Linked DNA regions of Saccharomyces cerevisiae S288C. Changing the gene in region 3 together with the main gene of any one other region gives a genetic interaction. Each region holds a gene or a part of one and is shown on either strand. Other genes may lie near its edges.

Region 1 (4,303 bases), on a different chromosome or scaffold from region 3:
TCACCACTTTGTTGCAGATATTGCAATTGGTTGTAACGAGTAAAGAAGATTGGAATACCTATGAGTTGACTGCAATTATGTCATGGTGCTACCCCATTCTGCAACGTCTTGCATGCAAGGATATTCCTGCCTTTTTCAATAAAAGTTGTAACGATTATGCTCCTTCAGTTGCCATCCAATTACACTCCACTTTACTTTCTTGCCTGGACATAATTTCTGACTTGTGCAAATTCAATCATGTTAGAAAATTCTTAATTTCGTATGACTCTGTGAAAATATTGGTATCTCTCTTGGATACTTTCCAAAAGAATTTGTTGAGGATTAATTTTTTGAAAGGAAACGGTGATACGGTGAATGAAATTAAAATCACAGATCATGAAGGTAACAAAATCGAGGACCGGTTATTAATTTTCAACCGTGTTAATACCAACGAATCCTTTATTAGGGCTGATAATTTTCCCCATTGTAAATTAGTAATAATCGAAATATTGGCATCGTTAGTGTATGCACATCCTGAAATCCAAGATCAAATAAGAGAATTAGGTGGTCTTGCATTAATTCTTTCCAATTGTGTCATCGATGATAATGATCCGTTTATCAAGGAAAGATCTATTGTTTGCTTGAAGTTTTTGTTAAAGAATAATGCCAAGAATCAGGAATATGTCAAAAAAATGGAAGCTCAAGACGTTGTTCAAGACGATGCATTGAGCAAAGCTGGGTTTGAAATATCAGTTGAAAAGGGCGGGAAAGTTAGATTAGTATCTAAAGAAGAAGACCCTGGGAACGAGAATTCTGAGATTATTAGCATAGATGAAGATTAATTTTATGGTTCCTTACTCTCGCAATCATGATTCACTTTGATTAACATTAAGGATAATCGTACTTCATACTCTCTATTAATTATAGAATTCTATATGTTATATAAGATAAAATATATTCATTAAAAAGGAAGATCTTATAATTTCATTTTAGCAAGTTCTTCTTCAATAGCGTTTTTGACCAATTCAACGTCAGCTCTTTCGATGAATTTTAATTTCTTCTTTAATGTGGATAGTTTCTTCAATTCCTCAGGCAAAACATCCTTTTCAAATGAATAATTGGAAAATCCAGACAATGCATTGTTTACAGCATCGGCAAATTTAGCTGGGTGAGCGGTAGATAGAGAAATGTATTGGATGGACTTGTCATTATCTTTTGCAATCAATCTTTCTGTGGCGCAAACACCGACAGCTGTGTGAGGATCTAAGATGTAATGTTTTGGATTTACAGATGATTCGTAGATCTTCTTGATTGTTTCAGATGTTTCTTCATTGGAAACTCTTTCTGATGTAAAGTCCTTTGATGCGCCTTCAATGATGGATTTGTCAACTTGGAACTTACCGTTGGTCTTCAATTCCTGGAACCAATTGTTGACGATTTCACCGGCTTTCAAATCATCACCATTAGCTAGGTATTCACGAGCTAGGTACCATAGTAGTCTTTCAAAGTTAGAAGAGATTAAGATATCCATTGCTGGGGATAAAGTAGCAGCAACCTTGTCTGATCTTTCGTATAGACCAGATTTCAAAAATCTGTCCAAAATGTCGTTTTCATTGGTAGCGATGGCCAGTTTTTCAATAGGCAAACCCATTTTCTTGGCAAAATAACCGGCCAATATATCACCGAAGTTCCCACTTGGCACAACGAACTTGACCTTCTTGGAGTCCTTACCGTTGGTGGCTTGGAAGAATGAATAAAAGTAATAGGTCATTTGGGCCAAGATTCTTGCCCAGTTGATGGAGTTAACAGCACCGACGTTGTGTTTAGAGTTGAATTCTTTGTCACCGAAAATAGCTTTGACGATATCTTGACAGTTGTCGAAAGTACCGGTAACAGACAAAGTCTGGACGTTTTCATCTGGAACGGTGGTCATTTGTTCTTCTTGAATTGGGGAAATTCTACCGGTTGGATATAAGATGAAAACGGAAACGTCCTTTTTGCCTCTTAAACCGTAGATGGCTGCAGAACCAGTGTCACCGGAAGTAGCACCGACCACAGTGATTTGCTTTTTCTCGCCTTCAGGTAAATTGGCGTTGGTTCTTTGTAAGAAGTATTCAAAAAGATTACCGACAAATTGTAAAGCAACGTCTTTGAAAGCGTAGGTAGGACCGTGGAATAATTCTAAAATGTGCAAATTCTCCTTGTCACCAGTGACGTTTTGCACCAAGGGGGTGACTTCATCAGAACGGAAAGTAGAATAAGATCTCTTGATCAAGTCCTTTAGATCAGCATCTGGAATCTCTTCTTGGGCAATGTATAGTCTCATGATAGCAAAGGCTAAGTCTTGGAAGGAGAGCTTTGACCAATCATTGAAAAGAGTGGCTTGGTCCACTTGTGGAATAGTTGGTGGAATGAAAAGACCACCGTCAGTGGCCAGACCTTGAATGATAGCCTCTTCAAAAGAGATTGTCTTTGGAGAGCTGGATCTGGTAGATCTGTAAACTTGGGAAGCGTTAGGCATTGGTGTGAGGGATGGTGGCCGTCTAAGAACAAATATTTGCTGCTATACTACCAAATGGAAAAATATAAGATACACAATATAGATAGTATTAAAAAAACGTGTATACGTTATTGATAGAAATGACTATACATTTTGTCGAAAATTTTTCATTTTCTTCTATTTCCTCGTTGTAATGACTCTTTTGTTCGCACGGTCACTACTCACGAGGAGGCGTGCAATAATTGCAGAAAGAATGAGATCATACAGTGATGTTATAGTCTTCCTTGGGAGTACAGTAGTGAGATATTGCCCATTAGTGACCTGTCATTGTTGTTGTTACTGTATATGTCACTCGTTCTTGCAGCATCTTCATTGAAGTATTGGTCGCCCTGCAGCACAAGCTCGTTTTGCTTGGAAGACCATAAGTAGTGAGTCAGCGTTTCTCTTGGATGCAAAGACAGTTCGTGGAAAAACTGGTATTTTTGAGCACTAGAGTTCAACTGCAAGGCAAGCTTTGTGATTTCACGTAGTTTTGCTGTGTCTTCAGCATCTGTTTCTTCCTCTTTTTGTAAATTTGGCTGGGGTTGAGGCTGGTGGAGAATGTGCGACACATCTACATCCAAGGTGGTAGCACCATAGGTGGTATCTTTGGAAAGATCAATTGTATAATCTAGGATGATGGGCGGTAGGGGTGATACCAGTTTGTTCACGGTTTGCACAACATTCATCAAGGGGAGGTGCGCGGCGTTTGTATCCAATACCTTTTGTAAGAGTGAATCTAGCTTCACTTCACCCAATTCGGGCTTATCCTTTGGAGTACTTCCCTCGACGCCATCATCGTCACCAGCACCGTTTTTATTGTTATTCTCGTTACTGCTGTCTTCGGCATCGTTGGAACCATCTTGAGCCTCTGTTTGTTCCGTAACAAACAGATTGTTGATCAAAATGTACTTGTAGATCGAATAAACCGCGTCATTAACGGAGCCCGTTTGCATACCTATCAAGGTAGCTAAGTTGGGCGAGTACTGTACTTTTCCACCGTCGACACCCCTCAACTGGATGGTTATACTGCATCGCAAATTATCCTTGCCTTGCCTCTTGATGTCGATACCATCAAACTCCACAACGTTGTTTTCATCGTAGTTCCATTCCAGTGCGTCTACAATTTCCTCCCTGGATTCTGCCTCTGCACTGTCCTCATCCTCGCCGTTGTCGTTATCGCCCATGGTGCTATCTTGATCATTGTATTCGGGTTGTTGCAGATTCAAAGGAAGGCTCAATGACGAATCGCGTTTCCTCTTCTTGCCCATGCCCAGCGGTTTCAGTCTTTTAAAGTCGACCGCGACACCTTCCAAAAACTCACTAAATGGGTGCTTTCCGTTTGCGGACTCGTGCAGAAGCTTACCTTCTATTCTCAGTGTCCATGTAGTCTTGCCTGAGTCCGCTGGGGTGCCAGAATCGCTGCGAGGGCTGCTTTCCGTAGTGTTGTAGACGTAAATCCTCAGCATCTCTTTATTGGGGGGATGGTCCTTGGTCTTGGTGTTTGTAGGTAAATTGATGGACGTATCCAGCCTCCTTCTTGTCAGATACAAATCTAGTCTGGAATCCATTTCTATCAATTTTTTCAAATCTGCCAGATTGGAGACCTTATCATCGGGCAGATACGTGGGGATATAAGCATCCGTTGGATATGTAACAGGGACCGGATTGGTCTGTGTTACCATTTCTATGAGCTGTTTTTCGTGCTGTATTACTATACGAAGCTGCCTTGTGAACTGTATATTTGTTGCTTTTCTTTCACTCTACAACGTTTTTTTCATTCTA
Region 2 (6,298 bases), on a different chromosome or scaffold from region 3:
TTAAAGTCATAAAAACCAACAATACCGTCTAGTCCACAAGAAACCATTTTACGATTCATACCATCTAAGGATATACCGGTGACTGCTCTTTTGTGCAATTTGTATTTTTTACGGAGTATACCACTTTGCATATTATAGATGGTGATAGAGCCGTTAGAAGAACCGATGAATCCAAAATTACCACATTGCGACATGGCCACAGATTTAACAAATCCATCATCAGTAGTATCAAAAGTCCACCTGCCAACTCTTTTATTTCGCATATCCCAGGTTCTTGCAAACTTTTCATCTTTATGTGCAGTGATAATGTTTTCCCATTCACCTATTCTGGCATTTTCAATTGCAAGAGCCACTATTTCAGGAAATTTAGACTTAATTGTACTACCACCTACCCTGCCGCCATCTTGTTTCTTGTGTAACCTTTGTGACATTTCTTGCGACTGTGCATCTTTACGCAGAGAAAAGCTCCATAATGATCTATCTTTGGATGCTGATAGCATGAAGTGTGATTGCGAATCAGCAAACGCAATGTATGAAGGTGGTTGAGAATGACCCCCTCTGGAACGTAGATATCTTGGCGGTTGAACAACTACATCACCGCTTCCTTGAGATAATGACGGATCGAAAACGTACTCCTTCAGGGAATTGTCACCACCTGATGTAACAATAATGGGTTGACCATTTAAAAAAGTAGCCTGAGTGACACCACCGTACGATTCTCTATGAATGTTCTTCAAAACGTGTATTCTTGAACGGCGATCTAAATCATAAAATATTAGATCACCACTGCTCGTTCCCACACTCAAATGAGAAGAACCGTCGGTTCTGAAACTCAATGAGGAGATTCTTGATTGCGGAATCTTAATTGTGCGGATCCTTTTACCTTTTCTCATATTAAACATAATAACCTCACCGGTCACGGTACCTAGAGCAATAATATCCAGGACTGGAGCGGGTTCAGCAGTTGTGATTTGGTCTGGAAATTCGTTTGATGTGAATACAAGCTTCCCGGTTCTGACGTTAAAAAGTAAAACGTTAGATTTGGTAACGACAGTTAATTTATTCAAATAAGTTGCCAAATGTTGTAAAGACACAATTTCGCCACCTTGAATTTCAGTAACGGTAAGTTTAGTGTAGAATTCTGATGGATATTTATCTTGCGGATCGGACTTCTTGTATATAAAGATGGAATTGTCGTCGGTGGAAGCGCAAAGATAATCTCCGAATATGCACAAATGTTCGACATTTGCATCAGTTTCTAGCTCAAGCAAATGTTCCTCAATACCCCTCTTGTAAATACCAACCTTGTTTTCATATGCTGCGTAGACGTAGTGAAAGTGTGCTGATAATGCTACAATTGAGGATGGTGTTTCTTTCTCGGAAACAAAAAGTAAATGTAAGGTATTCGCATCATATATCTGAAATGTTTTACCAACACACGTTACAATGTAAAAGGTAGATCCCAATGTACCAGTAGCAAAAGGAACACCATTGCTAACATTACCAATAATCCGGAAAGGGGAAAATATCTTAGAATTTTTCCCTCTACTTCTTACGTCTTCTTCGACTTTTCTTTTTTTCAAGTCGATAGACATAATGTACTATTCCTAACTCGCTATAGCCTTTTCAGTGTCTTATTCCTTGCTGCTGTTTCGCTGTATATTTATTGTGCTTAGGACTTATTAAATTTCATTAGCAATCTCATCGCGAAATTTTTCTCAAAATTTTTCAGTTAAAAAAAAAAAAGCACGTGCTCAAAAATGTTTTTAGAAAATCATTTATTTAAGATAGGAAAAATGCAATTAATCATTGAATCAATATGTTCACCACTTAAATTACCCACTGAGCATTTCATACAAATTCAAAAGCATCTCGTAGCATATTAATATATTGCAGAAGGTCATGAGTGGGATAAAGAAGGAACCGATTGAATCTGATGAGGTTCCTCAACAAGAGACAAAAAATAACTTACCTAGTGCACCTTCTGAGATGTCACCCCTTTTCCTAAACAAAAACACACAGAAGGCTATGCAATCTATTGCACCAATATTGGAGGGTTTCAGTCCTAAGACGTCAGCTAGCGAAAATATGTCTTTGAAATTGCCACCTCCCGGTATTCAAGATGATCACAGTGAAGAGAATCTCACCGTGCATGATACTCTGCAAAGAACCATAAGCACTGCACTAGGAAACGGAAACAACACCAATACAGTTACAACTTCCGGTTTAAAAAAGGCAGACAGTGAATCAAAGTCAGAAGCTGATCCTGAGGGGCTCAGCAATTCTAACATAGTCAATGATGCAGATAACATAAATTCCATCTCCAAGACCGGATCGCCCCATTTACCTCAAGGAACAATGGACGCTGAGCAGACTAACATGGGAACTAACTCTGTACCTACTTCATCAGCTTCTTCACGCAAATCCTCGACTAGTCATCCCAAACCTAGGCTACCCAAGGTAGGGAAGATTGGGGTATGTGCAATGGATGCAAAAGTCCTTTCAAAGCCAATGAGACACATTTTGAATCGTTTAATTGAACATGGTGAATTTGAAACTGTCATTTTTGGAGATAAGGTGATTCTAGATGAAAGAATAGAGAATTGGCCAACTTGCGACTTTTTGATATCTTTCTTTTCTTCAGGATTTCCCCTAGATAAAGCAATTAAATACGTCAAGTTACGCAAGCCTTTCATTATCAATGATTTAATAATGCAAAAGATTTTGTGGGACAGGAGATTATGTCTACAAGTATTAGAAGCCTACAACGTTCCAACACCTCCTAGACTGGAAATCAGTAGAGATGGTGGTCCCCGTGCCAACGAAGAATTAAGGGCAAAATTACGTGAGCATGGCGTAGAAGTTAAACCCGTTGAAGAACCGGAATGGAAAATGGTTGATGATGATACTTTAGAAGTTGATGGGAAAACCATGACTAAGCCCTTTGTTGAAAAGCCCGTTGATGGTGAAGACCACAACATTTATATATACTATCATTCTAAGAACGGAGGAGGCGGTCGTCGTCTATTCCGTAAAGTTGGTAACAAGTCTTCTGAGTTTGATCCTACTTTGGTTCATCCTCGTACGGAGGGGTCTTACATTTATGAGCAGTTTATGGATACCGATAATTTCGAAGATGTGAAGGCTTATACGATTGGTGAGAACTTTTGTCACGCTGAAACTAGGAAATCACCTGTGGTTGATGGTATAGTTAGAAGAAATACTCATGGTAAAGAAGTTAGATATATTACTGAGTTATCAGACGAAGAGAAAACCATTGCTGGGAAAGTTTCCAAAGCTTTTTCACAAATGATCTGTGGTTTCGATTTGCTTCGCGTTTCTGGTAAAAGTTACGTCATTGATGTTAACGGATTTTCTTTTGTAAAGGATAACAAAGCTTACTATGATTCATGCGCCAATATATTGAGAAGTACCTTCATTGAAGCCAAAAAGAAGATGGATATGGAAAAGAAGAATCTGCCCATTATTCGTGAAGAAAAGGAACAAAAGTGGGTATTCAAAGGACTGGCTATCATTATCCGTCACGCGGACAGAACACCAAAACAGAAATTCAAACATTCATTCACTTCGCCTATTTTTATATCGTTACTAAAAGGTCACAAAGAAGAAGTTGTCATTCGGAATGTAAATGATTTAAAGATTGTTCTTCAGGCCTTAAGAATTGCGTTAGATGAAAAAGCAGGAAATCCAGCTAAAATTAAAGTGTTAGCAAACGCTCTAGAAAAGAAACTGAATTTTCCCGGTACGAAAATACAATTGAAACCGGTTTTAAATAAAGAGAACGAAGTGGAAAAAGTTCAGTTTATTTTGAAATGGGGTGGTGAACCCACTCATTCTGCCAAATATCAGGCTACGGAACTCGGAGAGCAAATGAGACAAGATTTTGACCTATTGAATAAGAGCATTCTACAAAACATCAAGATATTTTCATCGTCTGAGAGACGTGTTCTTCATACGGCGCAGTACTGGACCAGAGCTCTTTTTGGGGCCGATGAATTAGGTAGCGATGAAATCAGTATTAGAAAGGATCTTTTAGATGACAGTAATGCCGCCAAAGATTTAATGGATAAGGTGAAAAAGAAGTTGAAGCCACTTTTAAGAGAGGGTAAGGAAGCTCCCCCACAATTTGCCTGGCCTTCAAAGATGCCGGAGCCATATTTAGTCATAAAGCGAGTGGTTGAATTGATGAATTACCATAAAAAAATTATGGATAACAACTTTGCTAAAAAGGATGTCAACTCGATGCAAACAAGATGGTGTACTTCTGAAGATCCTAGTTTGTTTAAGGAAAGGTGGGATAAACTTTTCAAAGAATTCAATAATGCTGAAAAAGTCGATCCTTCTAAAATTTCTGAATTGTATGATACTATGAAGTATGATGCTCTTCACAACAGGCAGTTCCTAGAGAACATATTTGACCCGGGTCTTCCAAATGAAGCTATCGCCGATGAACTCGGCAGTCATTCTTTAGTTGACCGATACCCAATTAACGTTCTCGCCAAAAATAATTTTAAGATAATAGACAGTCATAGCATGAACAATTCTGGAAAGAACAGTAGTAATAGTGTTGGGTCGTTAGGATGGGTTCTGGAAAGCGGAAAAACATCTACAGCAAGAAACCCCAAATCTTCTTCTCAATTCGATGAGCCACGCTTTATGCAGTTGCGGGAGCTGTATAAGCTGGCCAAAGTATTGTTTGATTTTATCTGCCCCAAAGAATATGGTATTTCAGATGCAGAGAAACTGGATATCGGTTTGTTAACTTCGTTGCCTTTGGCAAAGCAAATACTAAATGATATAGGAGACATGAAAAATAGAGAAACTCCAGCTTGTGTTGCGTACTTCACCAAAGAGTCCCATATTTACACTCTATTGAATATCATATACGAATCTGGTATTCCAATGAGAATCGCTAGAAATGCTTTACCAGAACTAGACTACTTGTCGCAGATCACTTTTGAACTTTATGAGAGTACGGATGCTTCTGGTCAAAAATCGCATTCCATTAGACTAAAAATGTCTCCTGGGTGTCATACTCAAGATCCGTTAGATGTTCAATTAGATGACAGGCATTATATTAGTTGTATTCCAAAGATTTCCCTGACGAAGCATTTGGATATGGACTATGTTCAACAGAAATTGAGAAACAAATTTACCAGGGTCATTATGCCTCCGAAATTTACACCAGTAAACATTACGAGCCCCAACTTGAGTTTCCAGAAACGCAAAACCAGAAGAAAGTCGGTATCTGTTGAGAAGTTGAAACGTCCTGCCTCGTCCGGATCTTCATCATCTACCTCCGTTAACAAGACATTAGATTAGTGATCACACCCAATTTTTAATTTAGTAACCCAAAACTAAATAAGTATTTACTCAACTTTTTTTTAAAAAAAAAAAACTTAATTGAATTTTGCTCGCGATCTTTAGGTCCGGAGTTTTCGTTGAACCCTTAGACGAGCAAATTAGCGCCATAAGGATATGCGTCAGAGCACATTAATTAGTGACATATACCTATATAAAGAGCAACCTTCTTGTTGGAATAAAAATCAACTATCATCTACTAACTAGTATTTACGTTACTAGTATATTATCATATACGGTGTTAGAAGATGACGCAAATGATGAGAAATAGTCATCTAAATTAGTGGAAGCTGAAACGCAAGGATTGATAATGTAATAGGATCAATGAATATTAACATATAAAATGATGATAATAATATTTATAGAATTGTGTAGAATTGCAGATTCCCTTTTATGGATTCCTAAATCCTCGAGGAGAACTTCTAGTATATCTACATACCTAATATTATTGCCTTATTAAAAATGGAATCCCAACAATTACATCAAAATCCACATTCTCTTCATGGTAGCGCCTATGCTTCGGTTACTTCTAAGGAAGTCCCATCAAATCAAGATCCGTTAGCCGTTTCAGCTTCCAATTTACCGGAATTTGATAGAGATTCCACTAAGGTTAATTCTCAACAAGAGACAACACCTGGGACATCAGCTGTTCCAGAGAACCATCATCATGTCTCTCCTCAACCTGCTTCAGTACCACCTCCACAGAATGGACAGTACCAACAGCACGGCATGATGACCCCAAACAAAGCTATGGCCTCTAACTGGGCACATTACCAACAACCATCTATGATGACGTGTTCACATTATCAAACGTCACCTGCGTATTATCAACCGGACCCACACTATCCGTTGCCACAGTATATCCCACCACTGAGTACTTCCTCACCTGATCCAATCGATTTAAAAAATCAACACT
Region 3 (4,592 bases):
CGAAGTCGCAAAAGACCTTGCCAAAATCACCAAGTGTTCCAATATTTTGGTTAAAGGTGGTCACATTCCATGGAATGATGAAGAAGGAAAGTACATCACTGATGTCCTTTACTTAGGGGCCGAACAAAGGTTTATAACCTTCAAGGGTAATTTTGTTAATACAACCCACACTCATGGTACCGGGTGCACCCTAGCTTCCGCCATTGCATCAAATTTGGCTCGCGGTTATTCCCTTCCCCAATCCGTTTATGGCGGTATTGAGTACGTCCAAAATGCGGTGGCCATTGGCTGCGATGTCACGAAAGAGACTGTTAAGGACAACGGGCCAATTAATCATGTCTACGCCATCGAAATTCCATTAGAAAAAATGCTCAGTGACGAATGTTTCACTGCATCAGATGCCGTACACAAAAAGCCAGTCAAAAGTTCTCTTAACAAAATCCCTGGAGGAAGTTTCTATAAATATCTGATAAATCACCCTAAAGTTAAGCCCCACTGGGACTCCTATGTGAACCATGATTTTGTTAGAAAAGTAGCAGACGGTTCCTTAGAGCCTAAGAAGTTCCAATTTTTTATCGAACAAGATTACCTGTACTTAGTCAATTATGCCAGGATTTCCTGCATCGCGGGTAGTAAATCCCCGTGTCTTGAAGACCTGGAGAAAGAGCTAGTTATTGTCGAATGCGTTCGTAATGGGCTTTGCCAACATGAAAGGAGATTAAGGGAGGAATTTGGAATTAAGGATCCCGACTACTTACAAAAGATTCAAAGAGGTCCTGCATTAAGGGCTTACTGTCGTTACTTTAATGATGTTTCCAGAAGAGGTAACTGGCAGGAGTTAGTTATAGCTCTTAATCCTTGCTTAATGGGCTATGTTCACGCTTTGACCAAGATCAAGGATGAAGTAACTGCAGCAGAAGGCTCCGTTTACCGTGAATGGTGTGAAACTTACTCATCGTCATGGTGCCACGAAGCTATGCTTGAAGGCGAAAAGCTGTTGAATCACATCTTGGAAACATACCCTCCAGAAAAACTTGATACACTGGTCACAATATATGCTGAAGTTTGTGAATTGGAAGCTAACTTCTGGACCGCCGCTCTAGAATATGAATGAATAGACACATCGATTTTTACAAAATATACAAAAAGTTATACGTAGAAATAATGAATTATGCAAAAATAGGTGTCAATAATTTAAGAATGTTCCTTCATTTTTATTAATATAGTAAAAATTGTTCGGCAGAAACCAAAATCTTCGTTCTGATTTTGGCGTTCTAGCGGCGCTACCATCCTAGTCACATACCTCAAGTATTCACCATAATTTCGTTGATAACTTATCCGGCAGAAACTTTCTCATCTTTCAGAAACCTAACACTGCAGTTGGACATTCTCGTAACATTAGCTGACAGAACTACGACAGACAGTTGCGACATAAAAAAAAAAGAATCACAACTGAACGCATCTTAGGGAAACAGTTAATGTTGGCACTGATGATTATTTGAATAGTGCGTCTTTATATATATATATTTTCTTCAAGGTATTCCTCCATCTGAAAATAATTGAGCATTCGACCCAATATAAACGTTTTCTATGCGCTAAAATTACTGCATACTATCAATAGGACTGCTATGGATCTATAATAGTTATGTAATAAAGATGAAGATATTTCAATGGTATAAAATACGCTCGATATACTATAGCCATCATTAGACGTAACTTCAACTAAGCGAGAAAGGGTATCTCTAATTATGATAATAGTCTTTGAAAGTCGTTGATAGCGATGTTAATTGAACGTATTGAAATATTGCTAGACGATGAAAAATTAAGAGTTAAACGGAAAGTGGGCTGAACAAAAAAAAGCATATAGAGAAACTAAGTCGTACAATTAAATATAGGAGTATTTTTGAAAATTGTAAATTACGAACTTGGAGGGACACAGAATGGCTTCTGCAGTGTATTTTTGCGATCATAATGGGAAACCACTCCTATCAAGAAGGTATAGAGATGATATTCCGCTTTCTGCAATTGACAAATTCCCTATATTACTCTCGGATTTAGAGGAACAATCAAATCTGATTCCTCCATGTTTGAACCACAATGGTCTGGAATATCTATTTATACAGCATAACGATCTATACGTGGTGGCAATTGTGACTTCTCTTAGTGCCAATGCGGCTGCCATTTTTACTTTTTTGCACAAATTAGTGGAGGTATTAAGTGACTACTTAAAAACCGTTGAAGAAGAATCTATTAGAGATAATTTTGTTATAATATATGAATTACTGGACGAAGTGATGGATTATGGTATACCACAGATCACAGAAACTAAGATGCTGAAACAGTACATAACACAAAAATCCTTCAAACTAGTTAAATCCGCCAAGAAGAAGAGGAATGCTACTAGACCACCCGTCGCACTAACAAATTCAGTCAGTTGGAGGCCAGAAGGCATCACTCACAAGAAAAATGAAGCCTTTCTGGATATCGTCGAATCTATTAATATGCTCATGACTCAAAAAGGTCAAGTTTTGAGATCAGAAATTATCGGCGATGTTAAGGTTAACTCAAAATTGTCTGGTATGCCTGATCTGAAATTAGGTATTAATGATAAAGGCATTTTCTCCAAATATTTGGATGATGATACAAATATCCCATCAGCGAGCGCGACAACATCCGATAATAACACAGAAACTGATAAAAAACCATCAATAACATCATCATCGGCCACAAACAAGAAGAAAGTTAATATTGAATTGGAAGATTTGAAATTTCATCAATGTGTCCGATTAAGCAAATTCGAGAATGAAAAAATTATAACGTTTATACCTCCTGATGGAAAGTTCGATTTAATGAACTACAGACTATCTACTACGATAAAACCGTTAATTTGGTGTGATGTAAACGTTCAAGTTCATTCGAATTCTAGAATTGAAATTCACTGTAAGGCCAAGGCCCAAATTAAAAGAAAATCTACTGCAACTAATGTAGAGATATTGATACCGGTCCCGGACGACGCGGATACACCGACTTTTAAATATTCACACGGGTCTCTAAAGTATGTCCCTGAAAAAAGTGCAATCTTATGGAAAATAAGAAGTTTTCCCGGTGGTAAAGAGTACTCAATGTCTGCCGAATTGGGACTGCCTTCAATATCAAATAACGAGGATGGCAATAGAACAATGCCAAAAAGTAACGCGGAAATCTTGAAGGGACCTGTCCAAATCAAATTTCAAATACCCTACTTTACTACTTCAGGTATTCAAGTACGTTATCTTAAAATTAACGAACCCAAATTGCAGTATAAGAGTTACCCATGGGTAAGATATATCACGCAAAGTGGTGATGATTATACAATAAGGCTGACGTAATGTCTGAAAAATATATAAAAAAAGCAATTTCTACGGTGCATGGACAAAGACACAGGGTACGTATGTCCTTATTCCTCTTTTTCTCCCCCCTCCCATTGACAATTATGATAATGACATAAAGTTGTTTATATATTTTTGTTTTTATATAGATGCTCATTCAGGGTTTGTTATATACATAGACATAAGAGAATAACTTTTTTTCTTTCTGTATTTCATTTTATTGTTTATAATGTTTTCCTCTACCAAGAAAATAGGGAGAAATGGAAGATAAAGAAACACTCTCCTCTATTCCTGTTGATATTCAGATTCAGGCTCGCTGTCGTTTGAGTTCGAGTCTATGCCTGATTCTCCGTTGTCATCGTCGTCAGAACCATCACTTGAAGTAGAGTTCTGTGCTTTTTCCTCGGCTTCCACTTTTAATTCATGCAAGATATCAAAACATTCTGCTAATAAAGCATTCAATATACCTTGGCCTTCAGGTATATTGCCATCAGAGTCATAGAATATACCTTCAGTTCTCAGGTTGTCCAATGAAGCCAATTTCATTTGATAAGGGTATAACTCTCTTTCATTATTCACACCTCCCATTCTTTTCAATTCTAATAGGCAACGACGAACTGTAGATAGTTGATTGTGAATTGGCTGCAACGCTTCAGATACGGGCTCTGAACTTTCCAACAGTTTATAAATTATGGCATAACATCTACGCAACAGGTATAAAAGTATTGATTGCCCCTTTGAGTCCTGAGATTTTGTTGGAAACTTACCATTGATTCTTTTGTTATCAATTTCGTTCAATTTTTTTTGGTAAGAAAATAAATCGGTTTCTCTCAAAGTCCATCTTCTTGTGATCATTAAATTTTCTAAGGTAGTCTTTATATCAATCAGCTGTTCATATATTGGCTGTAAATATGGATCTAAAGTCAACCCGCCATTTTTTTGGTGTGATAAATCGTTAACTAAATCATGGCAATCATCCAATAAACCATTAAGGACACTTTGGCCTTTTTCTGCCACCTGATGAGACTCCAAGGACTTGAATTTACCAGAATCGTCACGATTAGATTCTAATTCACTTAATTCGTTCTTCAAAACTGATAATTTCTCATGGACATACTCTTGAGATACTAAATGTTTGTCATCCGTTAAGCTTTCATTGTTCGTTTGCAAATCATTTTGTTCCTGCAATAAAGAGTTGGTATTAATATCAGATTTAGACATTGT

What was found.
Region 1: mutations in APM1 (region 3) and THR4 together harm fitness more than expected from each alone (negative genetic interaction), as found in Saccharomyces cerevisiae (4 studies listed by BioGRID).
Region 2: mutations in APM1 (region 3) and VIP1 together harm fitness more than expected from each alone (negative genetic interaction), as found in Saccharomyces cerevisiae (2 studies listed by BioGRID).

The regions. Positions count from the first base shown.
Region 1 is NC_001135.5:214,894-219,196, reverse strand, and holds THR4 (threonine synthase THR4), read right to left. Parts: upstream 2,501-4,303; coding exon 956-2,500; downstream 1-955. Other genes in the region: CTR86 (Ctr86p), read left to right, coding at 1-821; RSC6 (Rsc6p), read right to left, coding at 2,752-4,203. UniProt on the Saccharomyces cerevisiae protein: Catalyzes the gamma-elimination of phosphate from L-phosphohomoserine and the beta-addition of water to produce L-threonine.
Region 2 is NC_001144.5:935,639-941,936, forward strand, and holds VIP1 (inositol polyphosphate kinase VIP1), read left to right. Parts: upstream 1-1,902; coding exon 1,903-5,343; downstream 5,344-6,298. Other genes in the region: rRNA-processing protein UTP21, read right to left, coding at 1-1,595; YLR410W-A (gag protein), read left to right, coding at 5,845-6,298. UniProt on the Saccharomyces cerevisiae protein: Bifunctional inositol kinase that acts in concert with the IP6K kinases to synthesize the diphosphate group-containing inositol pyrophosphates diphosphoinositol pentakisphosphate, PP-InsP5, and bis-diphosphoinositol tetrakisphosphate, (PP)2-InsP4.
Region 3 is NC_001148.4:50,020-54,611, reverse strand, and holds APM1 (Apm1p), read left to right. Parts: upstream 1-1,940; coding exon 1,941-3,368; downstream 3,369-4,592. Other genes in the region: THI21 (bifunctional hydroxymethylpyrimidine kinase/phosphomethylpyrimidine kinase), read left to right, coding at 1-1,114; CUB1 (Cub1p), read right to left, coding at 3,654-4,592. UniProt on the Saccharomyces cerevisiae protein: Component of the adaptor complexes which link clathrin to receptors in coated vesicles. Clathrin-associated protein complexes are believed to interact with the cytoplasmic tails of membrane proteins, leading to their selection and concentration.